Linked DNA regions of Arabidopsis thaliana. The protein of the gene in region 1 interacts with the protein of each later gene in a pairwise test. Each region holds a gene or a part of one and is shown on either strand. Other genes may lie near its edges. The genes, in order: CAM7 and AT2G18750.

The links.
Region 2: the proteins of CAM7 (region 1) and AT2G18750 interact in a two-hybrid assay, tested with the Arabidopsis thaliana proteins (one study listed by BioGRID).

The regions. Positions count from the first base shown.
Region 1 is NC_003074.8:15,664,645-15,668,570, reverse strand, and holds the start of CAM7 (calmodulin 7), read left to right. Parts: upstream 1-2,101; 5' UTR 2,102-2,215; coding exon 2,216-2,291; exon of another isoform or gene 2,292-2,937; intron 2,938-3,090; exon of another isoform or gene 3,091-3,578; coding exon 3,579-3,926. UniProt on the Arabidopsis thaliana protein: Calmodulin mediates the control of a large number of enzymes, ion channels and other proteins by Ca(2+). Among the enzymes to be stimulated by the calmodulin-Ca(2+) complex are a number of protein kinases and phosphatases. Activates MPK8 in vitro.
Region 2 is NC_003071.7:8,123,054-8,126,979, forward strand, and holds the start of AT2G18750 (Calmodulin-binding protein), read left to right. Parts: upstream 1-2,074; 5' UTR 2,075-2,541; exon of another isoform or gene 2,542-2,748; 5' UTR 2,749-2,773; coding exon 2,774-2,889; intron 2,890-3,039; coding exon 3,040-3,115; intron 3,116-3,205; coding exon 3,206-3,264; intron 3,265-3,344; coding exon 3,345-3,838; intron 3,839-3,923; coding exon 3,924-3,926. Other genes in the region: AT2G18740 (Small nuclear ribonucleoprotein family protein), read left to right, coding at 281-322, 423-449, 549-611, 1,333-1,411, 1,499-1,544, 1,648-1,657. UniProt on the Arabidopsis thaliana protein: Transcription activator that binds DNA in a sequence-specific manner, likely 5'-GAAATTTTGG-3', to promote the expression of target genes.

The DNA.
Region 1 (3,926 bases):
TGAAATCGTTAGACAATAATAAGGATAGATCAAAGCCATCCTTCGACTAAAAAACCCTTTATACCTTCAACATACCTATAACGAAGGGAAGTCAATCATAACAAAAAGAACAGAATGATCCATACCAAAAAGAAGCTCTATGATATAATACTAAGAAAAAGCAAACACCTTAACCTCAACGCAATAATCTACCATCAAAACAATAACGGGAACAAACAATAGATCAAAGCTATATATCCGGCAAGTCAAAATTCCTCTGCATTTCTCGCATTTCACACATACCTATTCAAAAAGAGCTACCATCACAAACATAAAAAAAAGTCAGAGAAGCCTCCAACAATAAGAAGTCAGAATACAAAGGGAAACATATAACTGCACTGTTTATTAACAATTGTCTTGTGAATTCGTGTTATACCGTTACTTAATAACAATTATAAACTATAAAATATAATTTTTCTTTAAATAGATACAAGTTGTAAACCTTAATATATACTAACGTTAAAATCGCCTAGACCAACGTTTGGACATCAATATAGAATATCAGGTTACATCAATGTATCAAATTCAATATGAAATATCAAGATACCATAACAATAATACAGAAATATCAAATTCAATATGAAAATCTGATTTTTGCTTTACTATTAGCAGAAAATTCATGATCTGGACATAAGTAGTTAGTAGATTAGCCTAAGTTAGTAAAAATTAAGTTACAAACCTAAAAAACAAATTTGTCACAAAACTAGAATTTTTTTATTTTTTGGAATACGGGTTAAATCTTTAATTTATTATTTTTAGCACCACTTATCAAATCAGTCTGATTAGAAAAGATTATATAAAATCAAAAAATATTTTGTGGTATAGTGCTACTTAATAATAATTGTAAACTATAAAAATAATTGATGACAATTATATAAATTTTTTAAAAATCGTAAAATCAACGCAATTGGCGGGAAATTTTTCTACAAAAATTTTCTACTAAATTACGGAAAAACCGTAAAATCATTCTCAATCGTCTACTAATATTTATTGTCTAACCATTTTCTTTCTTGTGTTATAATTTTGAAATGTGATAAAATAAAGAGAATTTATAATAAATGATTATAGATTTGAAAAGAATGTACAAACTAACCTTGAGTCACAGTAGCTTGTCGGAAACATATTGGAGAACACATGTAATTACATAAATATCCTTTGTAACATGTTTTTTTTCCGAAATACATGCGATAACATAATATCTCTTTTTATCTTGTTATTTTCTCTTATTACATAGTATTTATAAAAAGCACATGGTATTTTATGGAAAAAACATTCTATTCAGTTTAATATCTCTTTTTATCATGATATTTTGTAGTAATACACATTTTTTATTAAGATCACACGTGATTTCTTTAAAAATATATTCTTATTTTTTAGTAATACACGGTTTTATTAAAATCACATATAAATTTTTTTTAAGGATTATGTTCATGTAAGAAAATTTCATAATAATGTTTTTTCTTAAAAATTCATGACGTTTTTTTAAATAGCATGTTTTAAAACTAAATATAACATGTGAAATTTTAATGTTACATGTTATTTTGAAAAATTACACGAATGTGTTTCGTTTACAGTTCATCTTACAACAAATGAAAGGTAGCTTTGTTATTTCATTTCTTCCGACAACATGGGTCCATGGTTATTTTGTAACAAAAAACTTTCTCTCTACTAGTTTCTTAATTTGTATGTTTTATTTGGTTATCTAATATTACCCTAAAATAAACTTAGCAAATAGAAAATGAATTTTATCAAATTGCCTACACCAATGTTTGGATATCAATGTATAATATCAGGTTACATCAATATATATCATACCAAGATACCATAACAATAATACAAAAATATCAAATTCAAAACTATTAGCAGAAAGTTCATGATCTGGACATAAGTAGTTAGTAGATTAGCCTAAAATAGTAAAAACTAAGTTGCAAACCTAAAAAACAAATTTCTCCCAAAACTAGAATTTCTTAATTTTTTGGTCTGAGAAATTAAAAGAGAAAGACGTTTAGGAGGGCAAAATCGTCAATTCAAAAATACCTCATTTTACCTGTAGCTGGTGAGATCTCATTTTATAAAGGAGAAGGAACATTCACTCTCACGCGCTTCAACTTTCTCCAGAAACAAGAAAATATCACAGCAAAAATTTTCTCGAGAAAATCCGAAGAAGACAAAAAAAATGGCGGATCAGCTAACCGATGACCAGATCTCCGAGTTCAAGGAAGCTTTTAGCCTATTCGACAAAGACGGAGATGGTCTCTTCTTCTTCTTCTTCTTCTTCTTCTTCTCTCAGATCTCTTTCTCTTGTCGTTTTTTTTTTAGATTTCTTCGCGGTGATCGTGAATCTCTGCACATTTCGTTTATTGTTTCATGTGATTTGAAGAACGATCTCGTTTTGATTCGTTCAGTCTTGCTCACATCTCCAGAGTGTTTAGGGTTGATTTTTGCTTCTATAGAAGGATCTAGAATATGTAGAATCTCCTTTAGTATATTCGTTGATGATTACTAAGATTTGTAGTTATGGAATCTTGTTTAATTAGGTTATTCATCATATTCTAGATCCTACATTGGAATCGTACATTGGAATCTAGTTGTTTCTCTGTGATTTACTATGATTCTGAACAAATCCTGTGATTATAATCATGCGGATTTGTACGTTCTCACAAAATTTAGTGGCATTGTGGTTTTAAGATTCAATTGTAACATGTAGATTTATCTGCAGATGTTTATACTCAAAATCTAAAAAACGAAATTTGGTTTATTGTGTGATGTTGCCAAATAGAAAAATAGAGAAAGAAGTTGATAATATCATCTCTGTTGTTCTTCTTTACAATAGTTGAGAACTTGCAACGGTGTGCATTTTGTGATGCTTATTGGCAATACCATCATATTTAGAACATTGTGCATTTCCTGGCCTTTGATTAGAAAGAGGCTTTAAATGTTGCTTGGTGGTTTGTGTGCAAAAAGTTTCTTTGTTAACTTGGTAGATGTTTCCCGAACAATCAGTTTTACTTGTCGTATACTATGATTGGGGTTTAAGAGTATTTTACTAAGAGCATTTTTGAGCTTTCTTGTGAGAATAGGTGCATTTCCTGGCCTTTGATTACTAAGAGAATAACATCATATTTAGAACATTGTGCATTTCCTGGCCTTTGATTACTAAGAGAATACCATCATATTTAGAACATTGTGCATTTCCTGGCCTTTGATTAGAAAGAGGCTTTAAATGTTGCTTGGTGGTTTGTGTGCAAGAAGTTTCTTTGTTAACTTGGTAGATGATTTCCGAACAATCAGTTTTACTTGTCGAATCGTCGTCCTTTTAAATGAGATATACTATGATTGGGGTTAGTAGTGTAAGGATATTTTACTAAGAGCATTTTTGAGCTTTCTTGCATTTGAAAACTTGACATATTACTTGTGTTTAAGATAATTGGTTTATATATCTTCCTGATCTTGTTGACAATATTAGTGTTCATAAAGTTATACTCGGAACTCTTGCGTTACAAAATCTGAAGTTGTGTCCAATTTTGGTTTGATTGCAGGTTGTATCACCACAAAGGAGCTTGGGACTGTGATGAGATCACTTGGGCAGAACCCGACAGAAGCCGAGCTCCAGGACATGATCAACGAAGTGGATGCAGACGGGAACGGGACAATAGATTTCCCAGAGTTCCTGAACCTAATGGCACGTAAGATGAAAGACACTGATTCAGAGGAAGAGCTTAAGGAAGCCTTCAGGGTTTTTGACAAGGACCAGAACGGTTTCATCTCGGCGGCTGAGCTTCGTCACGTGATGACAAATCTTGGGGAGAAGTTGACGGATGAGGAAGTCGATGAGATGATCCGAGAGGCTGACGTCGATGGTGATGGTCAGATCAACTATGAAGAGT
Region 2 (3,926 bases), on another chromosome or scaffold:
TATTAAAAATAAATCTTTCTCTGAAAAAAAAAAAAAAAAAGTTAAAAACCTACGCTAAAAAATTCTAGGTCTTGGAAAAGAGTATTTGGGCCAAATGATCACATTAATTAGTTATGGGCTGAAATAACATTCTGAAGTTTTATGAGGACCGAGAGAACTAAGTTTAAGAAAAATGTTGAAAAAAGCGTATTAGCAGAGGGACAAACGCTTTTTAGGGTTTTAGATTTCCTCTGAGAGAGAATTTTCGAAAGCTTGAGAGAGATTTCCAACTACGTTAGCCATGGCGAGCACCAAAGTTCAAAGGATTATGACCCAACCTATCGTACGTTTCTTCTTCGATTCCTTTGTTCCATCTCTTTATTGTTTCTATCGAAACCTAATTTTGTATCTTGCTTTTTGTTTTCCGGTGGCGGCGGCTCCAGAACTTGATTTTTAGGTTTCTTCAAAGTGTAAGTTGTTCAATTTCTTCTGATTTGCTCTCTGAGGTTTTAGGTTATTAGTAGTTCGTCTACTGATTTGTTCCCTGGTCTTTTGTGTTTGTGATGCAGAAAGCTAGGATCCAGATTTGGCTATTTGAGCAGAAAGATTTGAGGATTGAAGGAAGAATCACTGTAAGTTGATGTTGAAGCTCCGTTATCATGAATTGATTAGATTCCTGGCTTTGTTTATAGGACATTCGAGGGTTATGCTAACTTTAGGAGAGTTTGAAATGCATTAGCAGTGTGACTATCTCTCTAATTTAGTCTGTGTTTGAACTGTTGCATTTGTTGTGAATTGAAAAGGGATAGTTGTCACTGTTACTACTACTGCACAAAGAACTGATAAGAGCCTGCCAATAGAAACTAGTTTGATTAGCTAGCTGTTCTTAGGTTGAGTATGATTGTGTCATTCTCTTCGGCTTAAAACTTATTGTCTCCTACAGCCTACTTGGCTTTGGGTGTTACTTGTTTCAGTTTGTTGCTATGCTTGTAGTTGTATGTCCTCTATGATTTTCGAGTTATGATTCAAGCATTCAAGCTTTTCTTAGTTTGATTCTATGATAATTTGGAGAAACTTGAGATTTTGTGATGGTGTCATTCTCATTGGCTTAAAGGTTTGAGTTGTCTACTTGACTTTTGTTGTTCCATGTTGCAGTCTACTTGACTTTTGTTGTTCCTCGAGTTAAGATCCTAGCTTTTCTGAGGTTGATTATATGTATGGAGGAACATGATATTTGTGATAGTGTCACTCTACTCGGTTTTAAACTTAGATTTTTGTCTACTTGAATTTGGGTGTATTATTGATTCTTCTAGGAGAATCCATCAAACCTTGCTTATCCGTCGTCCTTTGCAGGGTTTTGACGAATACATGAATCTAGTTTTGGATGAGGCTGAAGAAGTGAGCATCAAGAAGAACACCAGGAAACCACTTGGTGAGTTATCCTGAACTCACTCTTTGATAACAAGTCTCAGATCTGTCTGCTTATGGTTTGATAACTCGTGTTAATACCTATTTTCAGGAAGGATTTTACTCAAAGGAGACAACATAACTCTGATGATGAACACGTAAGTAACACAATCTCTACTCTGTCTTCTCTCTTTATGATGTATAGCAGCTTGATTTGTCACATAACAAAAGATTGAAACAAAATCCTTTCTATGTTAACAGGGGAAAGTGATGTCTGTCTCAAACAACTCTCTTCGATGACCTTCAAGCTTATGTTAAATATCTGTTGAGTTCTTCCTCAGCTTAATTGGTACTTGACGATACCTTCTTTTCTTCAATGTCGTATAATATATTGCAATGTAGTGAGTGACAAAGGAGCTTGATCGAATCTAGTGGATTGGTTGGTTAAAACTTCAAAAAAGAGATTTGGTCCCTTTTGGTTAAATCTAGTGTTATGTAATTTGGCTGATCTTTGTTGCAACTTTTTAACCTCTGTTTAAATTTCAAACCTTAAAAAAGTAAAACCAATTGATTTTGATTATAAAAAAAATTGTATCATTTTTGTTTGTTTGGTGAACTGACCGAGTTGGCCATTCTCAGGGCTCAAGTAGATTGAAAGTTTAATTATACTAATAGACCAATCAGAATATAATCTGTTAAAGTTAACATAAAAATACAGAAATCTATGTGAACATTAACTTTTCATTGCAATTAGATGTTTTTATATCCATGTTGATTGTTGAATCTTATCCCTAATCTTGCTATTGGTGAAATGAATGTATTTTTACTATTAAAGTCTTTTTTTAATAACAAATAATTGGACTTTATACAACAAAGTATTATTATTTAATTATCAACTTTAGAATATAGCATGTGCCAAAAATACATACACTAGCCGCCGGCCCAAGAATGTCGTCCAATAAACGAAAAGCAAAAGTGACGGCAATCCAAGCCTACTGTGATCTTGTCCGCACCCGATAACTATCTTTAATTACTAAAACTAGTCAAAGTACTCGACTAATCACAAAACTAGACAAGTGTTTCAAGTAAATTAATTTTTGATCTTTTCATTTTATCTCTCTCTCTTTTTCTTCTATCCAAAACACCATTTTTGAGGTATTTTTCTCTCTCCTTCGAATCGAATTTTCAGGTTTCTCTTTCCGTTTGTTTGAAGAAGCTTTTAAGTAGAATTCATAAAATCTTGCTTAGCTTCTGGGTTTGATTTGTTTGTGGTAAAGTTTTGATTTTTTTTTTAGTTTGAGAGCTGGATTTGTGATTCTTTCTCTGGGTTGGTGAAGTTTTTTACTTGCTTCGATCTTATAGATCAGAGCTTCTAGCAGCGTAAAAAATGCAGACGAGGTATATGGAGAGGACTAATAGTATGAGAGAGAAGAGAAAATTGGAGGAAGATGATAATCAGCAGCAGCAGCAACAGCCTGAGCGTAAAAGGCCAGCTCTTGCAAGGTAATTTGTGTTGATGCTTGTAATTTTTCTGATTATTGATTATGGCGTTGTTGAATCTGTAATTGATTTGTAGTTGTATGAATGAAAAAAGGGTTGTTATGTATATTGATTGTCTGTGGATTTGAGAAAGTTGTGTATGTGTTATTGCAGTGTAATTGTGGAAGCCTTGAAGATGGATAGTTTACAGAGGCTTTGTTCTTCTTTGGAACCGATTCTTCGCCGAGTGGTTAGCTTAATAAGAATTGTTTACATGTCTTTTGGTGCTTTGTGTTGTTTCTTTGGCTTACTGATTTGTTTTGTGAGCATTGTCAAACAGGTAAGTGAAGAGGTGGAGCGGGCATTGGCAAAGCTTGGCCCTGCAAGACTTAGTGAAAGGTAACATATGACTGTTTTAAAAAGAGATAAAATTAATGGTTGGAGTATTTGTGGTTTTCTTCTAATGCTTGAGTTCACAGGTCGTCTCCAAAACGAATTGAAGGTATCGGTGGAAGGAATTTGCAGCTACAATTCAGGTCTAGATTGTCTGTTCCTTTGTTTACTGGAGGGAAGATAGAAGGGGAGCAAGGTGCTGCAATCCATGTTGTACTGTTGGATATGACAACTGGACATGTTTTGACAGTAGGACCTGAAGCTTCTGCAAAGCTTGATGTTGTTGTGCTTGATGGTGATTTTAACACTGAAGATGATGATGGTTGGAGTGGAGAAGAGTTTGAGGGTCATTTGGTGAAAGAACGTCAAGGGAAGAGGCCTCTCTTGACTGGTGATGTGCAGGTCACGTTGAAAGAAGGTGTGGGAACATTAGGGGAACTTATCTTTACGGACAACTCAAGTTGGATTAGATGCAGAAAATTCAGGCTGGGTTTAAGGGTCTCTTCGGGTTACTGTGAGGGAATGCGTGTACGCGAGGCAAAAACAGAAGCTTTTACCGTGAAGGACCATCGTGGAGAGTGTAAGTTCTTGCTTTCCTTTGATATTAGTCATTGATGTATCTGAATCTTTGTTTTTCTTTTGCCTAATGTTTTTTTTTCCTACAGTGT